Regions from separate parts of the Mus musculus genome. Here regions 2, 3 and 4 are each reported to be linked to region 1. The links are microRNA targets in miRTarBase. Many come from high-throughput screens and were not tested one by one. Region 1 holds a microRNA gene; each other region holds the end of a gene's coding sequence.
What was found. Region 1 holds the annotated microRNA mmu-miR-132-3p (UAACAGUCUACAGCCAUGGUCG, at 4,322-4,343, shown strand). A microRNA usually pairs through its seed, bases 2 to 8, with sites in the 3' UTR of a target mRNA and lowers its output. Matches are read on the target gene's strand: a 7mer-m8 pairs with bases 2 to 8, a 7mer-A1 pairs with bases 2 to 7 and ends in A, and an 8mer does both.

Region 1 (7,672 bases):
TGCTCCCGAGTACATATTTATATGTTATATCGCGCCAATTCGGGGGGGGGGAGGGGAAGGTTCTGTCTTCAAATGAGGAACTCTTAAGCCAGGGATGGTGGCGCATTCTTGTAATCATCCTAGCATAGCACCCAGGAGTTGGAAGCAAGAGGACCAGGAGTTCAAGGTCAGCCTCTACTACCTGAGACCCTATCTTAGAAAAGGGGTTGGGGTGGAACACTACGAACAGTATTCTGTGAGAGGGCGAGCTTAGAAATCCTAAGTGAGATGAAGGTACATACGTTCGGAGCAGGAGCGGGGCGGCTTTTATTAGACATTTCTGAACACCATTATTCACTTGGACTCAGTGGAGAGAGACACATTCCAACTCTCCCTCAGACACATGTTATCAGTATGCACATCATAAACCGTCCACACTCAAACTCTGTCCAAGCAGTGACAAGGGCGCGCCATGTTTACACAGACCGCCCACCCCCTCCCGGAGTCCCAACTTCTTGGGCTACTGCGGAGGCTACTACGTGAAACGGGGTAGAGGTCCTACCAAAGAGCCCTCCCCGAACTTGCGGGTCTCCAGAAGGACCCTAGAGCCCTCCATTGGAAATAGCTGGACAGAGCCCCCTTGCGACGTGCCCCTCAAGTCCCCAATCCCCCATCTAAGCAGTTTTGAGGGATCTTAGTTTGCCCCCCCCCAATACACCATTCGAGAGATATCACGAGAACGGGCGGCTTGAGACCCCCTCAAAAAAAGATCCTACACGCCACACAAGGGAGAGCTCATTCATGTTGGTGACTCCTCTTTTAGGAGGGAGGGGAGCGTGCACCAGCTCTTGGGTGCTCACCGGAAATGTCCCTGCATAGCGGGGCGGAGGCATAAGCACCGTTGCAAGCACCGCGCCTCCGTGGCCCACGCTCCGCCTCTTCCCCGCACCTCCTGACCCCCGCCCACGCTATAGGGGGGGTCCCCCCAAACCGCCCACAGCTTCTTATTGGCTGCGCCATCCTCCGTGGCCAAGCCGGAGAGGCTGGGGCTCAGAGTTACTATGGTAACCAATGAGGTTCCCGGGATCTCATCTCTCAGAGGCCTTGGAGAGCTTAGCAACCGCGCGGGGCGCAGGGCGGGTGGGGGCTACGCTCGCCGCACCCCACGCTGTCTTCGAGCCCCCACTCCCCCGCTTGAGGTAGTGGCTGAGTCACTCGCCCGGGGCAGCCGGCCGGGCCTCTAGCTGTACCAGTGAGACACCAAGGTCTTGGGCGCCTCCTAGAGGCTGCGTTTCTTTGGCAGGAGACTTCTATGCCTGGCCTAGGCTTCTGGTCCAAAGAGTCTTCAAGGCTCACCAGGTTTCCGCGACAGTGTGCTCCGCCTCCATCTAATCCACTTACTACTTCGTATCTCCGTACAGTGTCCATACAAGACAAACACTGCAGTCCCACGGTGGACTCCACAATTTCTGAGCTCTAGGAGAAGTGAAGAGGTACCTTGGTATCTCTGTCGAGGGATACGCCTTGGGGCTGAAGCGGAAGTGTAACGGAGCGTTTGAGGATAAGAAGGCTCCCCAGAAGTGCTCTTAGGGATGAGTTTTGACAACTCTGAGTTCTCCCACAAGCAAGGGTGTCTCTGATGTCTCTGTTTTAAATGTTTTCTCCTTTTAATGGGGTTAGATCGTGCGAGTCTGGAGAGAAAGCTCTGTATGTGTTTTACACAATGGAGTTTATCCGCTGGTTGACCCATAAGGAGGTCGGCTGGGTCTTCAGTTCCTTCTTGTTCTATCCCTCTCCACCGACTCAAGCCCTTGTTGTATCGCTATGGGGCCAACCACATAAACCTTGCCCAAGTTTCACTGTGTACTCCCCTCCCCTCCCCTCCCCTTCTCTCCTCTCCTCTCCTCCACGCCCCACCACCACCACCACCACAGTTTCAAGTCTACGGCTAGCCTCGAACTCACAAAGGCGTCTACTTCCCACGTACAAGGATGCGCACCACCATGCCCCTCCTCTTAACTTTGCTTTCCCCTTCTTCCTGAGCTCCTCTGGTCATCCTGGTGCAGCTTCCTCCTCTCCGTGAACGCATGACGACCCCATTTAGAGCCCGGAGACAGAATCGGGCTGTTTTGGAGGACCTGTTCCATATCGTATTTGCCTTTAGTCTATTCTGACTCCTTTAGAAAGGAGTCCCAGCTACACACACCCTCTGCCAAGCTATTGAGCCCCCTTAGTCTCATTTTCTCTCTTACAGGCTCTGCCTATGCCTATTCCACCCCACTGAGGTGGCCCCCTCGTGCCCCCTGGGGCACTGCCAAGTTGGCTCTCCAGTACTTGTCAGGCTAGCCCTTCCTTTTGTGGATACTCCGTACAGGGATTTTCCAAACTCTTACAGAAGATCTTCTGCTCATTTCTAAAGTCCAGACCACTCTCCTTAGACTCCCTGATCTTCTCTGCGGTTTCCACCATCTGACCGGTACCTTTCCTCCTGTGACCCAGTCAAGAAGCCTTCCAAAACTCCCAGGCTTCTCCACCCCTCTTTCCCCAGCTCCTAGATGTCAAAGTCCGAGGTGCACTCTACTCCCCTCCTAAACCGGTCCAGTTTCTTGCCTCACCCCCCACCCCCCCCCCACACACACACCAGGAGAGAGCGAGGATACCACGGTGGCCAAATGGGAGTGATACCATCGCGGGGCATCTTCTGGCGTCAGAGGACTGTAGGGTCTAGGGAATGAGCAGTGTGGTTTGGGGCTGCCAAGGGAGGACCCCTGCGGTCCAGGAGAAAAGAACTGAGATCCTAGGACTCGCAAAGCCCCGGAAGGGGAGAGTGAATAAACACAGAACGGGGCCTCACCCTCCCTGCACTATTCTCCCCCAGCCCGTCGCCTGCAGTTCCGGAAAGTTAACCCCTTGGAGGCCAAGCCTGGGGTTACGTACTCCCCTACCCAACCCTGCTTCCGCGTGCGCACCCTCCTCCCGCTCCAACTCCCTGTCGCTTCGTCCCGCCCTCCCCTACGCCCCCCCTCCCCGCTTGCCACTATAAATAGCCTCTTTTCCCGTTTCCTAAATTCTCTGCTGACGTCGGCAGCGCGTCAGTGTGTAGGAGCCGCGGCCGCATGAATGAGCCGCCGCACGAGTACTACGCGCGCCTATAAAAGCGGCGGCGCCGGCCGGGCTGCGGGAGGCAAGCCGGCACTGGTGCGACGCGGCCCGACAGGTAAGGACCACCAACAGTCGGAGATGGGCAGATGCGCGGACGCCATGGGAAGGCGAGGAGGGGACCGGAGGGGCGGCGGGTTGGAGGGGGACTCCGGAGTGAGGATGGGGGGCAGAGTGGGAGGGACGAAGGTTCCTTTCAGCTTGGTGGACCAGGGGCCGGCGGCTGACCCAACCCTATGCAGCACCTGCCGGCACCCAAATGCAGACGCAGACACTATGGAGAAACATCAAGCGGAGAGCCGAGCCCCCGACCCCATTTCCCGAGGCTGAGCAGCTCCTGCGCCATCCTTTCAAGAAAGTGGGGAGAAGGTGCTGGCGTCTCAGGAGACGCGCCCCCTCATTTCTCCCCTGTCCGCAGAGCGGTGACTCAGCCTAGATGGCCCCGACTGACTGAGCCAGGGCGCCCACGACAGACAGACGCACACCTCGGCCCTGCGGCTTTCTTGGGACCCCCGTCCTGCATGCTCCACACACGCCCCTTCCCTGTCCCGTCCCTTCCCGTCCGGTCCCGTCCCGTCCCATCGGACTGTCCCACTGAGCTCAGGACTTCCCGCCTCTGCAAGCGGAGCTGTCCTCTCAGGACCAGGCGGGGGCGGGGCTTCGATCAGGCCGCCCCGCCCTACCCCCACCGCTCCCCACCGCCGGAAATGCCTCCCCGCTGGGACATCTTTGACGTCACAGGACTCTGACGTCACGGTCGCGTGTCTGTCCGCGCGCGCTTGGGAGGAGGTGGGGGGGCCTGAGAAGCAGCAGCACTCTCAACTGCGGGCGACGGGATATCCCCGCCCGGGCAGCGCGCCGGCACCTTGGCTCTAGACTGCTTACTGCCCGGGCCGCCTTCAGTAACAGTCTCCAGTCACGGCCACCGACGCCTGGCCCCGCCCCAGGACCGCCGACCCCCGGCCCCTCCACGCCTCCCTGCGCCGCTGTCCGCGGTGCTGATGCAGTGCAAGCGCCTCCCTCGGGCACGCCTGTTCAAGGTCCCTGTGGGTTGCGGTGGGCGCAGGCCCCGCAGACACTCGCGCCACCCCCGCCGCCCGCGGTGCTGACGTCAGCCTGCAAGCCCCGCCCCCGCGTCTCCAGGGCAACCGTGGCTTTCGATTGTTACTGTGGGAACCGGAGGTAACAGTCTACAGCCATGGTCGCCCCGCAGCACGCCCACGCTCCCCACCACTCCCGAGTTCTGCCAGCCTGGGTTTGGGCAGATACAGAGCAAGAGGAGGCGGGGCGGCGACGCAACATTCGATGTGTCTGCGGAGGTGGCAAGAGGTGTGCTCAGAAAGGCGGCCTTTCAGGCTGCTGTGCATCTACCTCGGTGCAGAAGCAAGATCCGCGGAGTGTCTGAACATCCTCCTCAGAGACTCTCCTGTCTTCCTAGTCGAGGTATCGCTGCCTAAGGTGGCGAGAAAATGGGTGGTTCTGCGATAAGGATTCTTATCTCATGAGTGGTGAACCGATGGGATCAGGAGTCCTGTGAGAAGGAAGAAGTCACTTTTGCCAGCAGAAAGCTGAAGGGGGAGGAGAAGGAAGTTTTATCACACCTTTCTTCCAGAAAACCCTAGGTGAGCAGGTAGAGGGGAAAGGGCAAAGAATCCCTTTCCTGATAGAGCCATAACTCTGTCCCCCAACTTTCTCCTGGGCCATCATTAAAAGGGTCCTTAACACAGCAAGAAGCTGGCAGGCTAGTGAAATTCACCTGGCCCCTAATTCATTGTCTGAAGGTATCAGCCAGCAGTCTTCCCTCAACTGGTCTGTAAGTAATGCATCCCAACTTGAGATCTTCAAACGTGCCCCCAAAAGGAGTACAACCACAGAGACTGCACGTAAATACTCTCTGTGGCTAGGGCTGTTGAGAGACTCTGTCTGATAGGGTAGAAATCCTGAGTGTAATCAAGATGCAGAAAACAAATAGCAGGGATAATTTGAAAAGAGGACAGCCGGACAGTGGTGGCGCACGCCTTTATTCCCAGCACTCGGGAGGCAGAGACAGGCAGATTTCTGAGTTCGAGGCCAGCCTGGTCTACAAAGTGAGTTCCAGGACAGCCAGGGCTATACAGAGAAGCCCTGTCGTCTCGAAAAAAACCAAAAAAAAAAAAAAAAAAAAAAAAAAAAAAAAAAAGAAAAAAGAAAAAAAGAAAAGAGGACCTTTTGCAGATGGAACCCATCAGAAGATGTGGTTAGAAGGTTGACTATATAATGCTTTGAGTGTTCGTTGTCCTAGAAAACATTTAGTGTAAACCATGCCTTCTTTCCCAACTTTACACATTAGAAAGCAGAAGCCCAGGTTGGGCATTTAGCCTATAGAGAGCGGTAGTTTTTGCTTGCTTTTTACTGGACAGCAGAAAGACCAACCAAAACCAGGAGCTGCAGTGTATACCTGCAGTCCCAGTTGCTCAGGAGCCTAGACAATAAATATGAGATAAATATGAGATTCGTGTCTCAAAGGGGGGGGGGATGATGACAACAGACAAGAATATGGGGCTTTTGAGTCTGAATCATCCAATTTTGAGTAAGGTACTTAGCCTTTCTGTGCCTGTTTCCTCAATTGTAAGACTCAGTTATTAGGTTAATGACAGTACTTTTTCATGAAATTAGACAATGGGGGGGGGGGGGGACAGGGGTGCTGGGCATAGAGCTCAGTAGTAGGTCTGTGCTTAGCATGCCTAAGGTCCTGGGTTTGATCCCAGCACCAAAAATAAATGAGTTAGGCTATGGTAGAGCATGCTCTGAATACCAGATCTTGGGAGACAGAGATAAGTGGATTTCTGTGAGTTCAAGGATAACCAGAACTTCCGTGAGACCCCCGTCTCAAAAATAAGTTAGATGACAGGCTTCTATTTGTCTCATTGTCTGGTATAGTTAATTCTCAATAAATGTTATTTCTACCTCTGGACCTTATCCGCCTGGGCTGTACATAAATGTTAGAGCATTGATTCCTCGGGGGGAGGGGGCTTCTTTTTCTCCCCAGAGGGTTTTGAGTCCCACTAGAGGCTCTTTCCTAATACCACATATTTACCAGAGACTTAAAATTCTACCCAAGACTGTAGTTTGCAAATAGCTACATCAGGAATGACCAGGGGCAGACAAATAGGTCTATAGTTTTCTCTAGGAACTCCAGGTTTAACAAGTGTTCCTTGTGTAGGTGGCCCCCAGGGATGTGCATGTGGTAGTTCATTCCGCATGGTGGGAAGTAACTCTCCACTTGTTGGGACTCGGAACTGTTCTGATTCTTGGGAGGGCTCTTCACTTCAGACATGGGCCCTTCTGTGTGTTCCACCTAATAGAGCTCTGCTTGAACCCTCTCCTCCCTTTTTCCTGGTAGAGCCAGGGCCTACAGACCACTCACATGAACCTTTGCCTTTATTTATAGGGCTACCAAGTACAGGTCATCCTGTCCCCCAGCTTGGAGCTGACACAGGGGGCTGCCTATGACTGCCAGTGGTCTGAGTACTAACTTGCAAACCCACCAATTAGTTACAGAAAAGCAAATAGACCAAAGGGTTTATAAAATTCCACGTGTTCAATCTCCTTTTGTCAAGGAAGCAATCACTGTAAGGCAAGAACAAGGCACAGAGACCAATCCCCCACCCAAGCTGTTAAAAAGGGATCTCAAATCAGTACATGGGACTTTGGGGTATAATTCCAGTCTATCCTTTCGTGAAATTTTAAAATGTTTAGTGTGTATGAGATGGCATGTGTTAGCTAGCAGTCAGTGCCTTTAACCTGCTGAGCCATCTCACTGTCTTTTGGTGGAAATCTTGAGCCCTAAAGAAGCCAGAGGCCTTTGTAACTGAGTCAGACTTCTATGTAAGTGGAGTTCGGGGCAAGAGAATACATGGCAAGGCTCTGCCTTGGTCATCTAACAGAGGTTACAGAGAGCGTTCCTGTGTAGCCCTCTCTGTCCTGGAACTCCATCTGTAGACTAGGATAAGCTCAGTCTCAGATCTGCCTGTCTCTGCCAGTGCTGGGATGAAAGGCACGTGCCACCACTAACTGGTTGTTTTTAGACTAGACTGTCCTCTACCTCTGCCTGCATGTACCACCATGGCCATTGGGTCATTGACTTTTTAAACACATATCATGTACAACCCTGGGACCTGGGACTAGAGCCTCTGGAACTAAGAGCTATAGATGTTTGTGAGCTACATTGTGGATGCTGGAGCCCGAACCTGGGTCCTTTGAAAAAGCAGCCCATGTCCTTAACCACAGAACCATTTCTCTGATGTATACCTTGAAACACTTGTGTGTCAAGAACATATAACTCTGGGTATAAGAATGACTTGGGAGTAACTGGCCAACTCCAACTCCTGCTCAGTGACTAAGCTCCCTAGAAGATATTGTGGTGTGGGACTAGGTAAGTACCTTGTGATATCTTGGAAAAACTGTCTTTCAGAGGCAGAAGTCAGAAAGCAGCGTGCCTATGTGTGTGGCAAGATTGGGCACTGGAAGTGAGAAGAAAAATGGCAAGAAGTTA
Region 2 (7,672 bases), not on the chromosome of region 1:
GTGTAAGACTGTGGCAGCTCAAAACGACCACTGTTGTAAAAAGTTAAGTAAATGTCAAGATGTTCTTTTCCCAGAATTGGCCTCCGGTTCTTAAGTCTGCCCCTTTTAATGCAGTTAAAGGTTAGCCAATGATAAACTGCCAGCTCTAAACTGTGACTGAGAACTGCTCTAAAAAAGATGTATAAAAGGTGTACACTTTAGCTACTAGCGGTCGCTTCCATCCTGATGTAAGGACGACCCCAGCATGCTGGACCAATAAACCTCTTGCGTTTTGCATCGATCTCCATCTCTGCGTCTCTGTGAGTGGGGCATCCTGGACGTAAGGCTTTTCGGGTCTTACACTTGTAACTCTGCTGTGTTCTGTTCACGTATCAGTCAGAAGTCGCCAGAAACCAGATGCTTACTGAAGAAGAGGCACGAAAGTTAAAGAGACAGAAGATTGAAAATATCAGAAGGAACCATAACTACCTGCCTTTCATCACGGAATTACTAAAGACTGTAGCAGAACACCAGCAGTTAATTCCACGTGGGGAAAAGGCAAAAGAAAAACAGAATGCAAAGACAGCTCAGGAAATTACGTGAAGACACTATCCAGACGTGTGTGCACTGTGCTGCACTTAATTTCACGGACACCATTAAATTGAAGGAACTTTGAACAACATCCTAACTGACTCAGTGCATGTTTGACATAGCACCAGTCTGTTTTGTCCTTTATGCATGGAGTTAAAATTTTTTCCCTGTCTGTATCATGTGCATGTAGTACATACTAAATAAAAGTGATATTAAAAAAAAAAAGCAGCAATGGGTCCCCCTCAAGTCCAACCTTGAGTAGAAGAAGAGGGAAAATCTGATGCAGCACACAGATGTGGGCACTAACCATGGTCCAATGTAAGGCAAGAGTGTGGCAAGCCTGGCTTGGGAGGCTATAGGACCTGGGAGGAGATAGGACCAGTGTGACTTGTGTGGATGCGGGAAAACGGAATAATGTAACTTCCTGTTCCTTCTTAAGGCAAAGGCTGAATGGCCTGCGTCAGGGTCAGAAAGATCAGGTCCTGATGCGCCGGCTTAGCAGAGCCACTAGGAGCACTTGCCTATATCCATCTCAAGTCCTCACAAACATCAGGAGCTGAAGAGCCACAGAGAAGCAGCAGATACAATTGAAGAAATTAGGAACAAGGAAAGCTGTGTTTGAACCCCAGTTCACTGGGCTGTACAGAACTGTGTTCACAGAGGAGAGAAAAGGCTGCTCCAGCCGGGTGTGGTGGCACACGCCTAGAGGAGACAGTAATGAGGGAACGCCAGAGAAGTCTATCTGGGTTACTTGAAAACAAATGTTGAGCAAAATTTATGTTGAGCTGGAGTTGAAAGGAAAACAATGTGATAGAAAGCCTGTTTGCGCTGTGCTAAAGAACCCCAAGGGACAGCAAACAGAAGACATCTGTGAGAGAACAGTACAGGTGAAGAGGATCCAGACTGTCCTAGGAGTAGACCATTATCCCCCCAGACTAAGGAGGGGACATTTACCTCCAGCAAAAGGTTATACTAGGGGTGAAATTAGTTTGCCCAATCAGGAACTCCCCCAACCACCAGGGATGGTAGATGGTGTCTCAGCAGTTACTGCTACATCCACAGAGCCAACCCAGGGCAGCTCTGACCCAGGGAGCCCCAGGTAATGCTGGGAGAGCTGCGTCTTCTGCTCTCTGGCTCTGAATAGGTACGAGCAAACTAAGGCCCACAGCGTTCATCAGGTGTGGAGAATGCTTCATGGAAGAGCTCCAGGATAGGGAAGCCTGGTAGTTCAGAGAGAATGGCTAAGGATCAAGAGAGCTAATTACATCAGCGCTTCCTATCTATGCATGCAGGCTTTGTACCTTCATTAGTGGAGGAAGCAATTGATTAAAAAAAAAGGATGAAATCCTCTGGGCTCACCCATCACTGCGGAGAACAGATGACAGCAGACCTTCAGAGTGCTTCACCGTTATCTTTGTTGTATGGTGGTTCAAGATGTTGCCTTGTCCTTCCCACCTCCTGTACACATGTGCACACATCCACACACATACACAAACAGTGCTTGCAGATTTGGTAAGCCATTGGAGAGGCAACCAGTATATTCCATCTATCTTATGATCCTACTGGGGCTGGGTTAATTAAAAAGAAAAATGGGTTGCTAAAACAACAGCCAAATAGTTTAATTCTAAAAAGTACCTTACATGGGTGGACAAGGACACTCCTGGAGGCCATATAGTTACTGAAGGAAAATCCCAGTGCCAGGGGTGGGCTACCTCCGAGTTGCTGCCCAGGGAAGCCCCTGAGGCATCTCCAGCCATAAAGCTACTCCCTCAATTCTAACCACTTCTAAAGCTCTTAACAAGTGGCTGTTACTGTGGCATGGTGGCCCATTACTTAGCCATGTCTATAGTCACCCCAACCCCAAAACTCAGGGATTACTGCAGAATAAGGGGCACAAAGGATGTAAAAGCCCATGGAAGGAGTGGAGTGTTAACAGTCTCCTCAAAGATTAAAATATTCCATCTTGAAGGGAAGTTCCTTAAGCAGGGAGGTAAACAACAACAAGAATAGTCTCAGGAACTCCCTGAAACTGAGCAGATTCCCTAGGCTCCTCCCTGACAGAGTAAGCAGGGAGTAAGTCTTCAGAGAAGACTCAGAACAAGAAGAGCAGCCTTCGAGAGATTTAGACCAACTGAGGCACCTGAGAAGGATATTCTCCAACCTGCTGAGCTGCCTGCAGGCAGTGGGAAGAGCTTTAGGTTCCCAGCTTTGTGAGCTGTGTAACCCACATGCTGGTGGGCTTTGATGATGCAGCTGTCTCTGAGTCATTCCTGCTCCTGTAAGTAATCCCCCCTCCTAAACTCCTTAGTTCACCAGGTTGGACCTTTGGTGATATCTTTATTTTGGTCTGATGTGGGTTCCCTATTTTGGGTAAGGCCCTGATCAATCAGTAGCAGCTTGATTACAATAAGTTTTTGTCATTTGCATTGGCTAGGTGTTTGAGTTGGATCAAAGCAGACCCCATAACAAGTGGATAAATATTTACCCTCTCCAGGAAAAGGTGTGTCACATAAGGAGCACCCACATGGTGACCCACAGCTTTCTATAACTTCCATTCCAGGTCATCTAATGCTCCCACATGTGGAGGCACATATATACATTCAGGCAGAACACCTATATACATTTTTTTTTTTTTTAAGGATTGGTAGGCCGGTGGCACACTGTCTTAATCCCAGCACTCTGGAGGCAGAGGCAGGCATGTTTTGAGTCTAAGACCAGCTGAATTGACATACTGACTTGCAGTCTGTCAAAGAGGTATACATAAGTCTTTTGTGTGTGTGTGTGTGTTTTTTTTTTTTTTTTTTTTTTTTTTTCCCGAGACAGGATTTCTCTGTGTAGCCCTGGCTGTCCTGGTACTCACTCTGTAGACCAGGCTGGCCTTGAACTCAGGAATCTTCCTGTCTCTGTCTCCCAAGTGCTGGGATTAAAGGTGCGTGCCACCACTGCCCGGTGTTCAAACCCATATCAAAATAATGCTCTTCTATTTCAAGACTTAAATTGTATGAAGAACTAATTTGAGTCATTAGCGTCAGAATGCCTGCAATCCCTGAGGTCAGGATTACGTGGTGAGTGCCTGCATTAAAACAGAAAAACCTCTCAAGTCATCCATGGGTCAGAGGGCTGACCTGGTGGATCCTTACCTCCTGCCTGAGTATCAGTGAAGAGCTGACTCTGGCAAGTTGCAGTAATTCAATTTATTATTAATCAAATGTAATAGTTTTTAAAGGGTATTCTTTACAGTATAGGACGTCCTGAATCAAAGTGGGAAAATGTTAGGGCAAGAGGTAATAGTCTCTCTCTGTTCCTCCTGGTTGTTTGGGAACTGGATTGGGTTAGCCTCAAAGTCTGTGTCTGCCTTTGCCTCTTAAGTGCAGGAATAAAGATGTGTGCCACCACCAAAGGCTAATAAATAGCTTTTTCCATGGGCCAGGGTTGTCTCAACTGTGTAACCCAGGCTGGCTTGGACTTGCAGTGGTTTTCTCACGGGGCTTCCTCATCTGGTAGCTAACCACACTTTGACATTTGGCTGGTAGAGATGACTATCACCTGAACCTTGGAAAAACTCATCAAAATGTAATAAACTATTGCATGCATTTCCCTTTTCCTCTTGCTCTAAATAGTAGGCTTGCTAAGTAGCAGGTTTTTCTTTTCCTATTGTGCCGAGATCCACTAAACTGGGTCTTCATAAGCCTGGGCTTCATGTCCTCCAGTTTGCTACAGTCGACAATGACTTCCAGCTTTTTTTTTTTTTTTTTAAGATTTAGTTATGTATGTGAGTACACTGTAGCTGTCTTCAGACACACCAGAAGAGGGCGTCAGATTTCATTGTAGATGGCTGAGCCACCATGTGGTTGCTGGGAAGTGAACTCAGGACCTCTGGAAGAGCAGTCAGCGCCCTTAACGGCTGAGCCATCTCTCCAGCCCAGTGTTTATCTTCCTGCTTCTACCTTGTAAGGACTGGGACTGCAGGTAGATGCCCACTGTGGCATTCCCAAGGCTGGTTGGGGTCTAACTTATACACATCAGGCAAACCTGCACCAGCTTCATTTCCAGGCCTAGCCTTGTGTTCTCTAAGAAAGAAGATGAGCCCCAAAGAAGTGACACCAAGCTCAGGTGTCTGTCTCACACAGTTTATTTAACAATAGGTAATAAGAAATCAAATTTAACAGTCTATACAGTGATCCAAAGTTCATATTTATAAGTAATCAACCTTAATTGCATGATTTACAACAGTTGAGGGTTTTTGCTTTCTATTTTCAAGTTTTACAGAAAGTGTACGTGTGTGGGGCAGAGTAAGGAAGAAAGCAAGTGAAGAAATCTCAGACATTTGCATGTTAAAATCACCCCACTGGAGTCATTTCTTACCCTCTTTTTAAATTTTTTTTCCTCTGTTAGATGTAAAAATAACAAAAAATTTTTCTCAAGAAACAGAAACCACAATATTATAATACATCAATTTGGCAGCTGCCCCTGTATATTATGAAAAAGTCATTTTTTTCTCTACATGTACAAATTATCTTAATACTTGAAGTTTTACCCTTAGACTTACAGAATAGAAAATTTTCTGGAGCACAAAAGTTGACTTGAGGGATGGAAAGAGGAGGCTTTTTATTTTATTTTTTAAATGTTTTTAAAAGAATGAACATCTTTGCACCCAGAGAAAAAAATTGGTATTTTAATATATTTATATATATTTATATATATATATATATATAATGTAATTTTACGTAACATTAACCCCTTTTGTCCTCTGGTTTTAGAAATGTTCTTTTTTTTTATTTAAATTCTTTCATAAAGTGAGGAAAATAGGGAAAAATGTCAACCATCTGCACCAGTAAATAATAACTATTAATATTACATATTTTCATTAATTTAAAAAAAATAATAAAACCTATCGGCAAGGCAGGAGCATATGGTTGGCTTCAGACCTCAGTTGCCTCCCAGTGCACACTTGAACCACACACACAAGGGGAAAAAGAGCTGGGGTAACCAGCCATAACAAAAATATATTCTTTGTAATCTATTATCCCTCAGGTTCATCTGGCCTGTTTACTTTAAACCATAAATGGCTACTGCACAGTTCTTACATGTTCCAAGGAAAATGGGTCTTTTAGGCTAAGAAAGATTCAAAAAAATTGTTTTCAGTACAAAAAGTCTTGTTAAGAGAAAATAATCTTTTGCTTCCAAAATACTACAAGGTGTCTCTAGTGTATGTCTAGTGTACTCTGTGAGAGGTTTGAATTCAAGTCTGCATTATCGCTGCTCAGTCCCAGGTCCGTGGCACTTGCCCCGTGGAGGTTTGCCATGCCAGGATTGCTAGCGAGCTGTGAAAGCATTGAATTCTGGTCTGGGCTGGCAAAATGCCCTTGTTCCATAGGGTTGGCAGCCTGGGCAGCTACCAGTCCAGGATGTGGGGAACTGGTCTGTGGAGAAACATGGTGTGGAGAAGGCTGAGGCTGCATCCTCGGAGATGGGCTGGAATGGGGGGGCTGAGACTGTGGTCGAGGAGAAGGGACAGGCTGGGGAGAGCGCACTTGATTGGAGAGAGAATTAGGGATTTGTTGACCTTGTAGGTGTGGGGACTGTGCCTGATTTGGGAGCATGTGCTGCTGTGGGCTCATAGGGTTGGGCTGAGCAGGAGACCCCATCTGTTGTTGAAGAAGTCGCTGCTGATAGGCCTGTAGACTGGCTCCTGCCTCAGCCCCCAGAGCCTGGGGAAGCTGACCCATTTGTCCCATATTTCCTTGCTGCATTTGCTGCATGTGATGCTGCATTCGCTGCTGCTGCTGCTGCTGCGGTGGATAGCCAATTCCTTGGGGCTGCTGGAACTGGTTGGCCATTCCAGGGCCGATTCCTGGCCCTGCTCCCTGCTGTTGCATCATCTGCCGTCTTAAGATGTCTCTGAACTGTGAAGGCATGGTATTGTGATTCATGTTCATTTGCTGAGCTTGGGGACTCATTGCTCCCATGGGTGGCTGGAGCTGCTGCTGCGGCTGCTGCTGGGGCAGGCCAGCTCTCTGGACACCTGCCTGCAGAGGATTCATGTTCTGCAAGGCTGGGTTGGAGTGGACACCTTGCTGGCCAGGCATGGTAGGTGGCTGCAGCCCTGGCTGTCCCTGGGTCATGCCAGGCTGTCCAGGGAGAGGCTGTGGATTAGGGTTGGCATACTTGGCAGCCCGCTGCTTGATGAATGCAGCCAACAGTTGGGGGTTGGCATGAAGGATACTAAGCACCTGTTGCTGCTGTAAGGGAGAACTGGGAGACCTGAGAGTCCGCAAAAGGTTTTGTAAGGCTTGTTGAGACACAGTGCCTGGCTTGAGAGGGCTCACACCCACTTGGCCCAATCCTGGTTGTGGAGCCATGTTTAAAGGCTGACCATGCTGGGCCACTGACATCATGGCTGGCCTTGGCATCCCTGACTGCATCTGCTGGGGCTGAGGCATTCCTCCTTGGGCCCAAGGTGGCTGTTGCTGCATTCCTGCTGGACCTATTCCTGGATCCAAATGCCCACCAGGACCTCTGGCCATAGGAGGTGGGTTCATGCCCATAGGGGCCATGGGTGACATCTGGGGCATCTGGTGCTGGATTGGCCTTTGGAAAATCTGTACATGGGCCATCTGGCGCTGTGTCTCTGCTGCCCTCTGAATTTGCATTGCCATTTCTACTGCTGCAGGTGGAGGCCCTGGAAGGGGGGCCTGAGCAGTCTGAGGTGGGGTAGGTGGGGTCACCTGGCCTGGTGCCTTACCCTGGGACACAGGGCCAGTAGTCTGAGTCCTGGGTAAGTAGGGTGTCATGTTGTTGGGAGGAGTGGGCTGTGGTTGAGAGGTGGGTTGGGGCTGGGGTGTCTGTGGGGTGGCTGGCTGTTGGCCAGTAGGGGTAGTTGGTGTAGCAGGAGTTGGGGACGGCAGGCCCTGCTGCTGCCCCGCCACACCAGTTCGTTGCATGCTGGCCATCCTCCTACGGAGCATCTGAGCCTGTTGGAGCCGGTGCTGCAGCTGTTGCTGCCGGAGCTTTTGCTTGATGTTGAGGCAAAATGGCACCGGGCACTTGTTCTCCTGGCAGTGCTTGGCATGATAGCAGCAGAGGGCAATAAGCTGTTTGC
Region 3 (7,672 bases), not on the chromosome of region 1:
TCTTTTGACACAATGTTGCTATGCGGTCTTGGAACTTGTGATACTTTTGCATCAGCCCCACCCCCACCCCCAATATGCACCACCAAGCCCAACTCAACACTACTGTTGTAGCAAAATGTCAGCTTAGGGAAAGGTCTCATATTTTTGCAACAAACTTTTAACTTGGCAACATGTAGCCTGCCTTGGTTTTATTTACTATTTATGTAGGCCTTCTAAAAACCTTTTGAGATCAGGGTCTACATAAGAGCAGTTTAAAGTTTGTCAGAGACTTGGGATATGGATCTGTTGACAGAATGTTGGCCTAACGTGCAGCCATAAAATAGGTGCAGTGGTGCCTGTTTGTAATCTCAGGGCTCAGGAGATGGAGGCAGGAGGATCAAGTGTCATCCTTGGTTGCATAGTGATTTCAAGGACAGCCTGGGCTATATGAAACCCTGTGACATATCATATACACATACATATACATGCATACATACATATACACACATATATATTGTTTTAATATAAAAATGTTTGAAAAGAAATGTGTAAGCAAACGTAATGTGCATATATAACATATATGAATCATATGTGTATATAGAGATATACATTATATATGTACTATAAATTATATATAGATATAGATGCATGATATATGTATATATGAGAGAGGAGAGAAAGAGAGAGAAAAGAGAGAGAGGGACAGACAGACAGACAGACACTGGTGTCAATGGTGAGTAATCACATCAACTATGTCTCTGATGTCTACCTGGAATCAAAATCATAACGGTAAAACATACACAATGCTTGCTAAAAGCTGGGAACTTTCAAATATATACAACGGCAGAGAGAAGTGTCAATAGAACCTAGAGTTAACATTTGTCACCAATTCTCCTTCTCATTCCGAATAATGTGTTTTAAATGTAAGAGAAAATAGTGACAAGAGAATTTTAAACTTTAAAAATGCATTTATTTATTTATTTGGGAGGACTGCACATGTGTACTATGGAGTGTGTGTGCGGAGGTCAGAGGACAACTTTCTGGAGTCAGTTTTCTCTTTCCACCATGTAGAGGTCCTGGGGAATGGAACTTAGGCTGTCACATTTGGCAGCAAGCCCTTTGACCTGCTGAGCCATGCTGTCAGTCCAAGCCTTCTTTCAATAGCAACTAATGCACAGACACGTGTATATTTATTGATCTTAAGGCTTCATTCTTTACATTTGACTGTTTTCTTATGGATAAACTGTTCACCTAGAGCAGATGTTTCTCAATCTGTGGGTCTCAGCCCCTTTCACAGGGGCTGTAGATCAGATAGTTACATGAAGATTAATAACAGCAGCAAAATTACAGTTATGAAGTACAACAAAAATAATTTTATGTTTGGGGGTCACCACAACATGGAGAATTATATTAAAAGGTCACAGCCAGACAACTGTCAATTATACACAACACACACGGGCATACACGTATATCTTCATGGATTAGAACTTTTCAAAAGTCTGGCTGCAGTACAGAGATAATATCCAGTATTAGTTTCTTAGTATCATCTAATATTTATGCCATGTGTAATTATTTTAAAATCCTCTTATAATTGGTTTGTTTAAATTTATATCCAAATACTGGATTGTTGAATTTTAGGTCTCAAGTTACTAGACTTTCTTCCATGTCTTTACTTCAGTTTCCTTGTGGTGATGCAGGGGATGGAGGCTAGGCCATGCTGGGCATGTTCTCTGCCACTGGAATTCATAGCCCCCTCTCCCATTTTTGACTTTTTGTCCCTTTAAGGTCACTTTTGGTGAATAAATTGGGCCACTTGTCTGATGAAACTCCTATAATTTACTACCTTGTATATGGCTGATTTGATCTACTTTGTCTCTTTAAATATCTTCCTATATCAACAGAATTATTATTATTATCATTACTGATTTAGAAACAGAAATTTAAGCCAGGTGTGGTGGCGCACGCCTTTAATCCCAGCACTCGGGAGGCAGAGGCAGGCAGACTTCTGAGTTCAAGGCCAGCCTGGTCTACAAAGTGAGTTCCAAGACAACCAGGACTATACAGAGAAACCCTGTCTCGAAAAACCGAAAAACAAAACAAAACAAACAAACAAACAAAAAAAGAAATAGAAATTTAGATTCAATTCAAAACACAAACTGGGGCAAAGAGATTTCATAATCCAATAGCATGTTAAAAAAAGAAAAGAGCACTTGGGCATCTCACTTTGATCGGTATTGAGAAGATCAGTGGGTTCAGACTGCACCAGCCTCAGTCACCATCCCCAACTTCCCCGGCATTCAGCCATCAGTTGTTTTAACAAACGTAGGTGATCGGTACCTAGAAACTGTTATTTCAGTTAGACATGACAAAATTATTTTTTTAAGTTCTTATTTATTTAGGTTATAAGTGTTCGTTTGTGTGTTTGTGTGAGCACAGTGGGTGTGCCTGATGCCTGTGGAGGCCAGGAGTAAATGTTGGATCCTTTGGAACTAGAGTTACAGACAGTTGTGAGTTGTCAAGTAAGAACCAAACCCAGGTCCTCTGCCAAAACGATAAGGTCTCTTAACCACTGAGCCATCTCTTGAGCCCCGTGTTATTTGCAGACATCTGGTCTACTAACCTACTATCCATTTTGGATTTTACACATTTTACATAATACATACTCGCCTTCAAATGCCTTCATAATAGTTTTTTGAATTTGTGAATGGCAGGACATGGCCTCCTGTTGTACCTATGCTGTGCTGTTTGAACATCCATCTGCGGGGTGATAAGATACAGGCAATTCCAGTGGGCATTTTGAACCACTCTCATCCAGCACAATACTCTCTCTGAAGACAGCAAGCACATGACAGCAAGTATGCCAAGTGCTTTGACTAAGAGAATATTCAGATTTAGAATCACTCACATGGGCAAATCAAAGCAGCTAGATTCCAAAATGAGACGCACGCGCGCACACACACACACACACACACACACACACACACACACACATGTCCATATGATGCCACAGATTTATTATAGCAAAGAGAGCAAGTCCAACTTCTCAAAACTTCCACAGTCATTAAAAAGTAAACAGAAATAAGAGATAGCCGAGGGATACAATCTCATAATTTCCCAAACTATGAAACAATGCAGTATATACTCAAATTAGAATTCTCATTAAGTATGTAGACAGAAAGTCATAATACCCTACAGATAATTTAAATTTTGTATTTATATCATATATATTGGACCTCAAGGGCCCACAGAACTTTTATAATAAACTATACTTAATAGCTGGGCTTTTTGCTTATTAGGCAAGCAAATTTAAAGACAATAAAGTCCTGAAAAGTAGGTAAACCCCATTAGAAACTCCACTTGACCGAATACTGCTTACACAAACCCTACAACCAGTGACACTCACTCTGCTCCAGGAACACTTACCTGGGGGACACTGACTGTCAACCTTAATCTGTTTCCATGTAACTTCCACCTCCCTCCTTCATTCATATAGTTAAGACTGTGGTATGTCACAATGTTGCTCTCAGTCTGTGGGCACATCAGACATTTTAAATACTTAGAGGAGGGGTGGAGAGGGTATGGAGCAAGAAGAGGAAATAAATCAAAACCTCCTGTCTTAGTCTCTATTTTCAATTCCGTTGGGTCTTTGCCCTGTTTGAGTCTTTGGGATTGCTTGTGTATGTGCCAGTGTCTACCATCCCATCCCATCTTAACCCAGGCTGGACACACAGAGTCAAAGTAGGAAAACATGGATCCCTGAGACCTTCACAGCGACAGACTAGCACAGCCGTTCCCTGCAGCTCGGCTTGTCTGTGGCCTTTTTAAAATTTTTTTTTTTTAATATGAAAAGCCTATCATCCTCGCTTCTCATTGTAAGCATGTGGAATCACTAAAGGCCACTTAATGGCGAATAACTTTATAAACTGAATGAATGTGGAGACAGAGTAATGGATCAGGAGAGGGCAGGCAAAACTCATAGTTTATGGTCAATGAGGACTCAGGCTTTATTGCAAAATGAGCAACGTTGTGTGGCGCCCATGACCAAGGTGTACTGATTTTGAAAAGTTCTCCGAAGAGGAAAAGGAAATAATATTGACATCTTCACAAGCGTCCAAGTATTGCTAAGTTGTTCTGGTTCACCGGAAAGAAGAAGGAAATTCTAGAAAGTGGCATTTTTAAAGGGGGTGGGGGTTAGGGAATGCCACATGAATCTCAGCCCTTCACAATATGGCTTATAGGTCTGAAGAAATGGAAATCACACACACACACACACACACACACACACACACACACACAATCATAATTCAGTGTCTTTATCTCTCAGGACATAACACCCCTTGTTTATTTGTTAACCAAATCTTGCCTCTGATACTCGGCACCACTCAACTCTGGTTGCTTCATAAGCCGTTTGCATAGTAGATATTCAAAAATTAATATGTGATTCAGAAGCACCTGAGGTAAGCCAATCACATGAACACTTAAATATCTAACCAACACTTACTTTGGCAAAACAATCCCTTAAACCAGGACATATCAGAGAGTGTTATTATACTGCAACAGATTATACCTTTCCTCATTGAATCCAACAGTCTATTCTTTTTTTTTTTATTCACACATCCCTCTTTTCAGATATGCACAGAAGTTAATTGTAGAATCGTCATTAGCAAAGCGTTCATTAACCGTTGAGACAAATCATCTTGTTTGCAACATAAAGTTACCTCCACCTTGGGCTCAAAGGCATCAGTGCGGATACCATAGCATCACAGCCTCTAACAGCTTGTGCATGAGTTGGGAGGAAGTCTTATGGGCAGATCTTGTGGCAATGACCCAGAAGACCATTCAAACTTACCATTAACAAATTTAGAATGAGAGCTTATCAAGAATCCACTTAGGCTTCACTTGTGTTAGCACTTCAGAACTGAGCCCTAGAACGAGTGTAATGTTGTCTGAACATAAGGGATGAGTGACAGACAGAACCCAGCATCAGGGGTTCCCACATCAAGCAGGAGGAATCTATCGTACTCTGTGGACCTCTGTCCATGTTCAAAATAGCTAGTATTTGTCATCATTTCTGGGGTTCCTAGGAGAGCACTACATTACTTCATACCCTCCTCTTGATGTAGCAAGATGTATTAAGACCTCTGATTGGTTTGAAAGGCAACATGAAACCTCCTGGCTGTTCCAGGCTCTTCCACTGAGAAGACTTATCTGGGAGCTTTGGACTCTCAGAGATCAGAAACCCAAATAACTTATCATAAAAATACAAGCTCTTGGTTTTGAAAAATATACAAAATGCACTGCATAGGCAAGTATGTCTTGATTGTCAAGGAAGGCAAGATATCAGTCTCCATTGTAAATTCAGGTTGTGTCTGTATTTTAGTGGCGCTTGCTTTTGCAATTTCCATTTTCTAGAGTTTTGGGCAACCTCTGACCCTTGGTGTAAGCACGGTACCAAAAGTGGAGAAAGAGCAGCAGGAAGATGCATCCGTAACTCATGATGATATACAGAAAAACTGGGTACTGGTAATTGCAGTCCTCCATGAAGAAGATCTGGCCTATGTGGATAGTGACAAGAACAAACTGGACCTGAGAGATGGGAAGAATAAAAAAGAAATTAGCTATGAAAAGACCAACACGGGTTGATGAGTTCTTCAGTCACACCTAAATTACTACTAGGCAGAGCAGGGTGTCTTTCTATATGTTCTCTCTAGGAGTGAGAACAGGTTAGGTACGGTGTCAAATTTAGATGGGGGTTTGGGACCAATATTCAGTGCTAACACTGCACTCCAGCAGATCCTACTTAAATGTTACATTCTGTTCTCGGAAATGAAGTATTTTAAATTTTAGAAGACACTACCATCCAAATTAGAGCCTTTCTAGTTTTGATGGAGCCAAAGCATGCCCTTAGATCTGCTACGGGTCCTTCATCACCATAGATCCAAACCGTCCTGGGAAGGAGTTGGGCATGGTGAGACACACCTGTTACCTACCTCAGCTACCTGAAAGGATGAGGTAGCAGAATCAGTTAAGCTCATGATTTGAGTTCAGCTGGGCAGTACAGTGAGATTTCACCTCTAAGAAAGGAAAAGACAGGGGAAGAAGGCCCAGCTGTCCAAAAAGGCATAAAAAGAGGGAGGACATTGGTTGGCGTCCCAAGGATGCTCAAAGTCTCTCTGGGCTGGAAGAATCCGCATGCTCATAATAAGGAGACTTTCTATGTTAGTGTTTAGACATTCTTGGGTACTTTCTTTGATGCTTTTTTTTTTTTTTTTTTTTTTTTTTTTTTTTTTTTTTTTTGGTAGAGAGGGGGCTATACATGAGCCTTTGCATGCCTGTGCAGGCTGGGTTGTTCCATCCTTCCACTATGTGTCTCAAGGATCAAACTCAAGTTATCAGGTTTGGTAGAAAACACCCTTACCCACCCTGAGCCATCTCGCTGCGTCCCCCACTTCATAGGTTTTTATACCTAATTTAAACTTAGTTGGGGAACTTTTAGAAAAATCTTTATAAAGAAACAGTATCTATGAGCTAACTAACCATGATTGAATCTTTGACATTATGTAATATAACTACTGTTAGCGTCAACCTTCACTACCATAGCCTGATAAATGCCCATGGCTGCCTTGTCTGGCAGCGGCATCGACTCCCTTCATTTTGCAAGAGAATAATGAAACCTTGGAAAGGTGAAGCAGAGTTCTCTGCACACATGAGTGCTGGAGACACGTGGCAAACAGATGTCTAGCCTTCGTCTTTATGCACACATCTTTCCACTTTATTGAAATTCTTTTGTTTTCTGAAACAAAGTGGTATGTGGTACTGGCTGGCTTCATTCTTGTTATGTAGGCGAGCGTGACCTTGAACTCCCCACCCTCCTGCCTCTGCTTCCCAAGGGCTGGCTCTGCTGGTGTGCACAAGTATACCTGACTCACTTCATTTAAAATGTCATAACGTTTGTTAGATGAAAATAAACTAGTATAATAAGATTATGAATGCAGTAACATGAAGCCAGTAGAAGATGTAAATGCATCTACACGCATAAGAGGAGAAGCTGAGTGAAAACAAAAAGAAGAGCTACTACTCCAGAGAGATGGGTATTTTCATTGATTGATTGATTGATTGATTTTTCATTTATATAGTACTCGGAACTAAGAAACCTCTCCTACACTAAGCCACACCTCAGCCCAGTTGATTTTCCTTCCTCGGGAGTTTTAATTTCTCTGAGACAAGAACATATTACTGCACAATGAGAAAGCAGCAATGGAGAATAAAAACCATGACTTCACAGTATTCCCAAGTAAGAAGAAAGCAAACATATGAATTAAAGTATTCATTTCACGGCTTCTTCTTGGTTGGTCATTGGGACTGTTGCCAATTGCAGATACAACAGCTAACTCTCGGGAGCTCCTCTGGTCTTCCCTGAGGGTCCTTAGAGGCCAATGCACCAGTCTCTCACCTGGTAGGGCCTCTTATAGGGCTACATCCAGTGTTACTTGGTGATTCCCCAGCAGCCTAGCTATGCCTTAGTCCCACTCTCTCCTTGATATCACTGGCACCCAATTTACAATATACTTCAAGTCAGGAAATATGAAGATGGTAGAATTATTCTAATAGAGGGTAATAAAACCAAAACAGGTCAGTTTTCACTCAGTAGGAAAATTACATGCCGTATATTTTTAGAATGGATTCTTAGGAG
Region 4 (7,672 bases), not on the chromosome of region 1:
GGTGTCCCAAGGTGGACTGAAATAAAAGATGAATTACTGTTTTAAGATCAAGGACTGATCTTCATGAAGTATGACTAAATAATTTTTTAGATACCTTGCTTCACTCCTGAGTGTGAACCAACCTGCTTGGGTCATGAAGGAAAAGGCCTTGAAGTGATGAAGTGTGGTTAATGCACTCTTCGGAATCCCCAAACTGAAAGTGCCATCTCTTCTAGCTAGTTTTCTCCCCTGTTGTTTATTAAGTCTCAGCTGAGAGATGATGTAGGAGGACATAAGTGAATGGAAGACTGGGCAGACACTGTACCTTGAGAACATGTCACATGTTTAGACCCAGATCTTCCACAGGAAGATGACAGCACCTTTCTGGCTTTCATTGACCTCCATGGAAGATGTTCTTTTTTTTTTTTTTTAATCCTTTTGAGTTTAACTTATATTTTAAGTCTTTGGTTTTCAATTTGAAAGTGGACATACTACTTGGTACTTAATGGATGTTGAACAAAGATTCTTTGAAACATTATATAGTGTACAGGTCAGTCCCTTCTATCCTCGATAAAGAATTATCAGCCCGCCATGTCACAAGTGCCATAGTGAAAGAAACGTATAGAAAATGATTTTCTTTCTATATGTGTATGAGGTAAGTGTGGATGAACAAAAGCAGAGATCTCAGAAATGAAACAAGGATTTAAGTAGAGGCCATCTAACAGCAGTCAAAGTACCATGTTAAGATAAGCCAAGTGTCTGGGCAGTGGTGGTGCATGTCTTTAATCCTAGCAACTGGGAGACAGAGGCAGGCGGAGGTCAGCCTGGTCTACAAACTGAGATCCAGGACAGCTAGAGCTACACAGAGAAACCCTGTCTCAAAAGAAAACAAAAACAATCAAACAAACAAACAAAAACACAGAGAGAGACAGATACAGAGACAGACAGACAAAGCCAAACAATCCAGGCAAGGGTGGTCTACGTCTTTAATTCCAGCACTCAGAAAGCAGAGTCAGATCCTTAGGAGTTACAGGCCAGCCTGGTCTACAAAGTAAGTTCCAGGACAGCAAAGACTACACAGAAAACCCTATCTCAAACTGCCCTTCTCTCCCCAACCCCCTCCTCTTGAATAAAATATACATCTTAGAAAAAGAAAAGCCAAGTGGAGATTTTAGTGTAATTGCTATAAAAGTTTGCAAGGAAATTGTAAATAGATTTGTACATGTGTGTACATGAGTGTATTTGTTAGAGAAGGATTGTTACTGGAAGTAGTTATGGCAATATCCAGGAGACTGTTGCATTTCCCCTGTGATAGAAGAGGTTGATTTTAACATATTTAGGAGTAGTTAGGGTTAAGGGTATACCTTAATGGTAAAGTGTTTGCCTGGCATGCACAGGTCCTGGATTCAATCCTCAGGACTGGGGAAAAATTAAAATATATACATATTAATTGAACCTAGGTTTCTTGTATGTATTCTTGGAGGAGTTAAGGGTTGGGAAGTAGATTTATTTTCTAAAGATGCTCAGTGTTTGGGTTTCTTTTCTCTTCTTAGGAACTTCAAGGAGTGTCCACCAGTTTCTGGCTATGTGTGACAGGGATGAAACTCCCCAAGGGGTCAAGTACACAGGAAGGACTTTGAACTACCGAAGTCTACCTCATCGTTCCAGAACTGATGCTTCCTGGGGACCAGGGTCAGAGACCAACCAGCACATTGGGGCCAGAGTCCTAACTATGCCAGCATGCAAGCCTCAGCTAACCTACACTGCCACACTACCAGAAAGACACCAGGGCCTTCAGGTTCCACATGCTCAGTCCTGGGGGAATCTTTTCCACTCACCCTCCCATCCTTCTGCTGTTCACCCAGGGTCCCCACCATCCAGCAATCTTCATGTACCCCTTAGGTCAACTTGGAATTCTGGTCCTGTTCTGGGGTCCCGAACACCTGGTCCACGAAGAATAGACATGCCCCCAGATGATGACTGGAGACAGAGCAGTTACCCCTCCCAGGACAGACACAGGAGCCCAGGAGAGGAAAGAATTATGTTTGCTCTATCAAATGCTGCTGGAAGAGAGCAGAACAGGGTGAGATTTCTACAGCACAGCAGGTGGTAAGGGCCACCCTAACCTGCCCTGGAGCTACACCTTCATCCATAAAACTGTACGGCGGCGCAGTGACACCTTGTTTCCTGCCAGTTATGCCAGTCTCATCTCAACAGACTTGGCCATTTCATTCCAGGCACCATATGCCTGTAATCCCAGTAGTTGGGAGGTAGAGATTGGGGAATCAGCATTTCAAGGCCAGAGACTGGGGTAAAAAGAGACTGTTTGTTGTTGTTGTTGTTTTGTTTTAAAGAACAGAACCACAACAACAAAGAAGACATTGATTTTTTTTTCCCCTAAGGGTGTTTGCTGCTTTGAGAGGGAATATTTGAAATTCCAGCTTTAGAGTTGGGGATGTAGCTCAATTGGTAGCGTGTTTTTGTAACATGCACATCAGCCATGGTTCTATCCTTAGAAGTGTGTGAAACTGACCATGGTGGTGCACAACTGTCATCCTAGCACTTGGGAGACAGAGGGAGGAGGATCAGAAGTTCAGGGTTATCCTTGGCTACATAACAAGTTCTAGACTAGTCTGGACTACTTTAGTTCTGGTTCTTTTGGCCCCATCTCCATCAGAGCCCTCATCTTCTGGTCCTACTATACTCCCAACTTACACTCTTTGTTTATCCACCTGTCCATATTACTTAACATTCTTTCTTCCCTATTTCGTATCAATGGAAAAGGGGTATTTATCCCCATAGTCAGGATTCTGACCACGTCCTTAAGGGAAGCCCAACTGCCCAGGTATTATGGCCTGTCAGCCTTCCTTGTGACTCAGACTTTAGGCCTAGAATGTGGAGCTGCCAATACACTGTTTGCCCTTCTGAACAGATGGAGTTGGGCACACTAACACCCCTCCTGTCCTTAGCAGCAGAGCCATTACTACCACTGCTCACTCACCCTTGTAAACTCTCAAGAGTCAGCTAAAGTATTTTAGGGCAAAGCATACTGGTTTTGTAAAGTATTTTTCATTAATAAATCTATAAGATAGTTGTATTTAATCTCTTGTCTTTTACTTTTGTATGTCCTTGCTCTTTTCTTCTGGGGTCGGGAGGCTTCAACATTTATATGAAATGCCTTTGACCAAGTGAAAATGAATAGCCAAAGAGGAATTTAAAAATACAAACTGACCAGGTGTGGTGGCACACACCTTTAATCCCAGCACTTGGGAGGCAGAGGCAGGTGGATTTCTGAGTTCGAGGCCAGCCTGGTCTACAAAGTGAGTTTCAGGACAGCCAGGGCTACACAGAGAAACCCTGTCTCGAAAAACCGAAAAACCAAAAAACCAAACAAAAAAAACAAACTCACTTATGGAGTCAACATATCTTTAAGAGTCTTTCCCTCTTGTTATGGCTGTTAGCGTGTTAACTATCCCTCCCCTGCCTGGGACACTCAGTGCATTACATTCTCCATTCCTCCCCTTGTCTTCTGGGCATTCAAACCACCTTGACAAACTCACTCCCAGTACAGTACCAGCCTTGGTGCCTTTCCTCTCTGCATTCCAGGTGTGTGATGTGACTCCAATCCTTTGCTCTTCCTATTGCCTTGCTCCCTTTCCTTTCCCCTTAAGAGTCAGAATATCTCTGTGATAATGAGAGCTATCTTCACCCATGACACACTCCCAACAGTCTCTTTCCTTTGAAAAGTATTTTGTAGTGGCTGGAGAGATGATTCAATGGTTAAGAGAACAAGCTGTTCATGTATTGGACCCAGGTTCAGTTTTCAGTACCACATAGTGGTTCACAATATTTGGTAGCTCTAGTTCCAGGGAATATAATCTACTCTTCTGCCCTCTATGGAGACTGAACACATGTGGTGCACAGACATTCATGCAGGTAAAACACATAAACACACAAAAGAAAATAATTTGGAAGGTTCCCTTTGCAAAGAATGTCTATTGGGTTTTCCCTCCTTATTTATTCCAGATCTTGATCTTACTGATGAACACAAAGAAACAACAGATGCTGAGAACGTTGCCCTCCTAATCACTGAGGACAGATTCTGAGAACTTGTGTTACTGAGTAATAAGATACAGAGGGCTTTCTTGTTTCATCCTATTTGGATGCTATAACATAGAGACATGGGCCTTAGTAGATATGTTGGCCCCTGAACCATTCAACACTGCTCGTGTCATACACACAATTCTATCTTTTTGGAAGAAGTGTAATGACTGTGCATATGTATGAGGAGGACACATGAAGGCTAGAGTAAGCTGTACTAGTCAGTTCTCTTTTAATACCTTGTGTGCCCTGTGGTTCCATTACTGGGTTTGGTGGCCTATGCCTTCAGCATCTGAGCATCTTATTAATAACTGTTAAGGACCACCTGTACTTGTTTCTTGACCTCTTGGATGCTGGTCAACTTGGATCTGTTTCTGCAAGTTGCCCAAATTCAAATTCCGAGTATGTACAAAGATAAGGAACTAATTTCCTATTTTCTACCTACTTAGTCTCTGCTTTCCATTTTTTTCTATTTCATTTCTTTATTTACAAGTTTTAGTAGATGTCAGACTAGAAGGAGTCTAATTCCTTCTTTCCATTGTCTCCTTCGGCCATGGGGATTAGTCCTAAGGAACTTAAATCACAGTCCTTGGCTGCAAGCACCTTTATCCATTGAACCATCTCTCTGCCTTCAAATTTATTTGCTCAGTGAATTACGAGAGAGGCAATGGCTTTCCAGGGGAATCTTACAGGTTCTCAGGACACCTCTTGGTGTCATTCCCTACTTCCCTTGATCCATTTTGGTTCTTAAATCGTGGTGCTTAGACTTTTCCAGCTGAATTTATGTGCCTTTGGACTTTTCCAAACTCTCAAAGCAAGAGTTCGAATTCTATGCAACTCTCTAGGGCCCCGTTTTGTTGAGACAGTCTCACTTTGTTGCCCTGAGTGGTTAGACCTAGCTAGACTTGAACTTACAGAGTTCTGCCTTCCCCTGCCTCCTGAGGTCTGGTATTAAAGGGAAAATTTCATTTTAAATGATAATGCCACTCTATAGATTCCCTGATGCTTCTTTCATTTTTCTCTCTGGCCATAGTATTATCACTTAGATTTTGTAGATAAATTGTCATATATTTGTCTAGGCCTGGGAAATTCTGAGATCAAATTACACCTCTTCATTTTCCTGGGCTCCAAAGCGGCCAAAAAACCGTCCTTTTTTCCCCTTGCATTTTATCAACAGCCCCTCAGTTTAATCTGCAACCTCTCTTTACTGGTTTGTCTTTCTGCATGTACGGAATTTTCACCTGATCCCTTGGACTGTTTCCGTTTCTGTAGTAGCCTCGGTAATTTTGCTCAAGTCCCTGGAGCTTGTCCCGCCCCCGCCCCTGCACGCGCGATGCATGACGGTCTTAGCCCCTCTGAAGGGAAAGAGGGTCCGCCATGTTCCCCGGCGGCGCCGCCGCTTGGCTCTGGTAGCCGCCGCCCCCGCCCCCAACCCCGCCCGTCCCGGCACCTAGCCGAGCCCCGGGCCCAGCATGGCCGCCCCGGAGCCGGCCCGGGCCGCGCCGCCCCCGCCCCCGCCCCCACCGCCCCCTCTCGGGGCCGACCGCGTCGTCAAAGGTGAGAGGTACCCGAAGCCTGGGGGCCTGGCGTGAGGCGCGGTGTGAGGGCGGGCGGGAGTCCGTCCCCTCAGGAGCGGGCCTGGCGGGGCGGGCGAGTGACTGGCTGCCTCCCTTGGGGAGTGGCCCCTGGGCGGGTCCCCGCTGGGCCGGGCCGAGGCGTAGGCTGCTCCTCGGTCTCCCGCTCGCCCTGCAGGCCCGGGCGGGCGTCGTGCGCGGGCTGTCGCTAACGCGGGCTCAGGGCCGTCCGCCGCAGTGAGCCCCTTTCTTTCCTGCTTTGCCTGTGGTCGGCGCGGCGCCCGCGTTAAGAGCTTCCGGCTCCTCGACAGCTGCACTCCCGGCTTGCCCGGGCGCACCGAGGGGCCCCGGAACCCCTTAGCCGCACGCCGTTGGACTCGCCCGCGTTCTGGCCCACGCCTGCTCCCGGGTGACAACGCCTAGCTAGCGCCAGCCGCAGGGGGTTTGCGCTCGGCCCTCAGATGCCACCCCGCGCGGAAATCGGGAAAACCGTATGGGACTGGACCAGGATGAAGGATCCCGGGGTGACCTAGGAACCCAGACGTAGCTGCGGGGCAGGGGAAAAAGCCATCTTACAAAGAGGAGGCAAAAAAGTCCCATGTATAGGAAGTGGTACACTTAACAGAAAGGGTTTTACAAGCCGCCTCTAAACACACGACTTACTCTTTAGAAGGAAAAGTGAAATTCTTCTGAGCCAGGGAGGACGTGTGTGTACAGATAAACAGATTTATTTAAATTAAATTGAGAGGCAGTTGAAAGTTCCTTAAAAGTCCAGGCTCTCAGAGAGAGCCCATCTACCACACTAATACTATGGATTAAGAATATTAAGAACTGAAATTATTTTTCTTTATTTTGCAGTCAATAAGCAGAAATCGTAAAATGAAGATTTCGTCATTTAGATTATGCTCATTTTTAAAGTTATTTTAATTTTCAAATTCAGTGTCTCAAGTATAGACTGGCACAGTGTTTAAATACTGCTAGCTTTGCTTTGAATTGTGACCATGGTTTGCCATTAAAATATTTTAAAACAAACCCTTTTCTCGTGTGTGTGTGTGTGTGTGTATGTATGTATGTATGTATGTGTGCTGGTTTTTCGAGATAGGGCTTTTTTGCGTAGTCTTAGCCAGGAACTTGGAAAGTAGGCTGGTCTGGAACTCAGAGATATGCCTGCCTCTGCTTCTTAAGAGCCCAATCAAAGGTGTACGCCACCACTGCCCACCTGTGTTTTTTCTGTTTTCAATCTGCACTTTAGGTTCTTAAAGCATGACATATGTGGTTGGGTTAAGCATTAGAATGAACTAAATAGGACTGGAGTAAGAGCGGGTAAGAGCACTGACTGCTCTTCCAGAAGTCTGAGTTCAGTTCCTAGCAGCCACATGGTAGCTCACAACCATCTGTCATGGGATCTGATGCCTCTTCTGGTGTGTCTGGAGACAGTGACAGTGTACTCATATACATTAAATAAATTTTAAAAAAAGAATGAATAGGTTTTTTTCTCAAAGATTTATTTTATTATTATAAATAAGTAGACTGTTGCTGACTTCAGACGTACCAGAAGAGGGTGTCAGATCTCATTTCAGATGGTTGTGAGCCACCATGTGTTTGCTGGGATTTGAACTCAGGACCTCTGGAAGATCAGTCAGTGCTCTTACTCGCTGAGCTATCTCACCAGCCCCTAGAATGAATAGTTTATGAGCTTCTTTTTCTGGGATTTTTTTTTTTCTTGAAGGATAGAAGATCAGGCATTGATCCTATTAATTTCTGTAATTGTATAGGTGGGGGTTGAAACAGGCCATTGCCTGCTTCTTCATTTTCTTAACTATATTTCCTGTGTGCTTATTTTTCTGGATACTTTTCACCAGAATAATAGCTGACGTAACTAGTCACATTCCCAAATCATGTATTTATGTTGTCCTTTTGTGAATCTTGTTCCTTGTCATTTATGTAGCAATCTTTTTCTCATACTGCTTTAATGAAGGAAAAACGAGTTGCAAGCAGAAGGCAGATTCTTTAGGGGT

Region 2: the mRNA of Ep300 is a reported target of mmu-miR-132-3p. Seed matches in the 3' UTR shown: 8mer at 4,734-4,741.
Region 3: miRTarBase lists Elovl7 as a target of mmu-miR-132-3p. Seed matches in the 3' UTR shown: 7mer-m8 at 4,564-4,570.
Region 4: miRTarBase lists Usp54 as a target of mmu-miR-132-3p. Seed matches in the 3' UTR shown: 7mer-m8 at 2,300-2,306.

What each region holds. Positions count from the first base shown.
Region 1 is chr11:75,169,402-75,177,073 of GRCm38, forward strand. Mir132 (microRNA 132) reads left to right here and starts at 4,281; the gene lies at 4,281-4,346. Ovca2 (candidate tumor suppressor in ovarian cancer 2) reads right to left here. Exons shown (of 2, transcript NM_027136.3): 2 at 6,542-7,672. Mir212 (microRNA 212) reads left to right here and starts at 3,987; the gene lies at 3,987-4,077. Hic1 (hypermethylated in cancer 1) reads right to left here and starts at 854. Exons shown (of 2, transcript NM_010430.2): 1 at 1-854. The coding sequence starts at 118.
Region 2 is chr15:81,649,085-81,656,756 of GRCm38, reverse strand. It overlaps Ep300 (E1A binding protein p300), which reads right to left. Exons shown (of 31, transcript NM_177821.6): 31 at 4,680-7,672. The coding sequence ends at 5,775. Among named protein-coding and RNA genes, the nearest start is that of L3mbtl2, 11 kb to the left of the region's middle.
Region 3 is chr13:108,280,365-108,288,036 of GRCm38, reverse strand. It overlaps Elovl7 (ELOVL family member 7, elongation of long chain fatty acids (yeast)), which reads right to left. Exons shown (of 8, transcript NM_029001.5): 8 at 928-5,565. The coding sequence ends at 5,356. Among named protein-coding and RNA genes, the nearest start is that of Depdc1b, 32 kb to the left of the region's middle.
Region 4 is chr14:20,544,321-20,551,992 of GRCm38, reverse strand. It overlaps Usp54 (ubiquitin specific peptidase 54), which reads left to right. Exons shown (of 21, transcript NM_030180.2): 21 at 1,533-3,081. The coding sequence ends at 2,092. It overlaps Ppp3cb (protein phosphatase 3, catalytic subunit, beta isoform), which reads left to right and starts at 5,420. Exons shown (of 14, transcript NM_008914.3): 1 at 5,420-5,637. The coding sequence starts at 5,553. It overlaps 1810062O18Rik (RIKEN cDNA 1810062O18 gene), which reads right to left and starts at 5,700. Exons shown (of 6, transcript NR_033571.1): 1 at 5,649-5,700.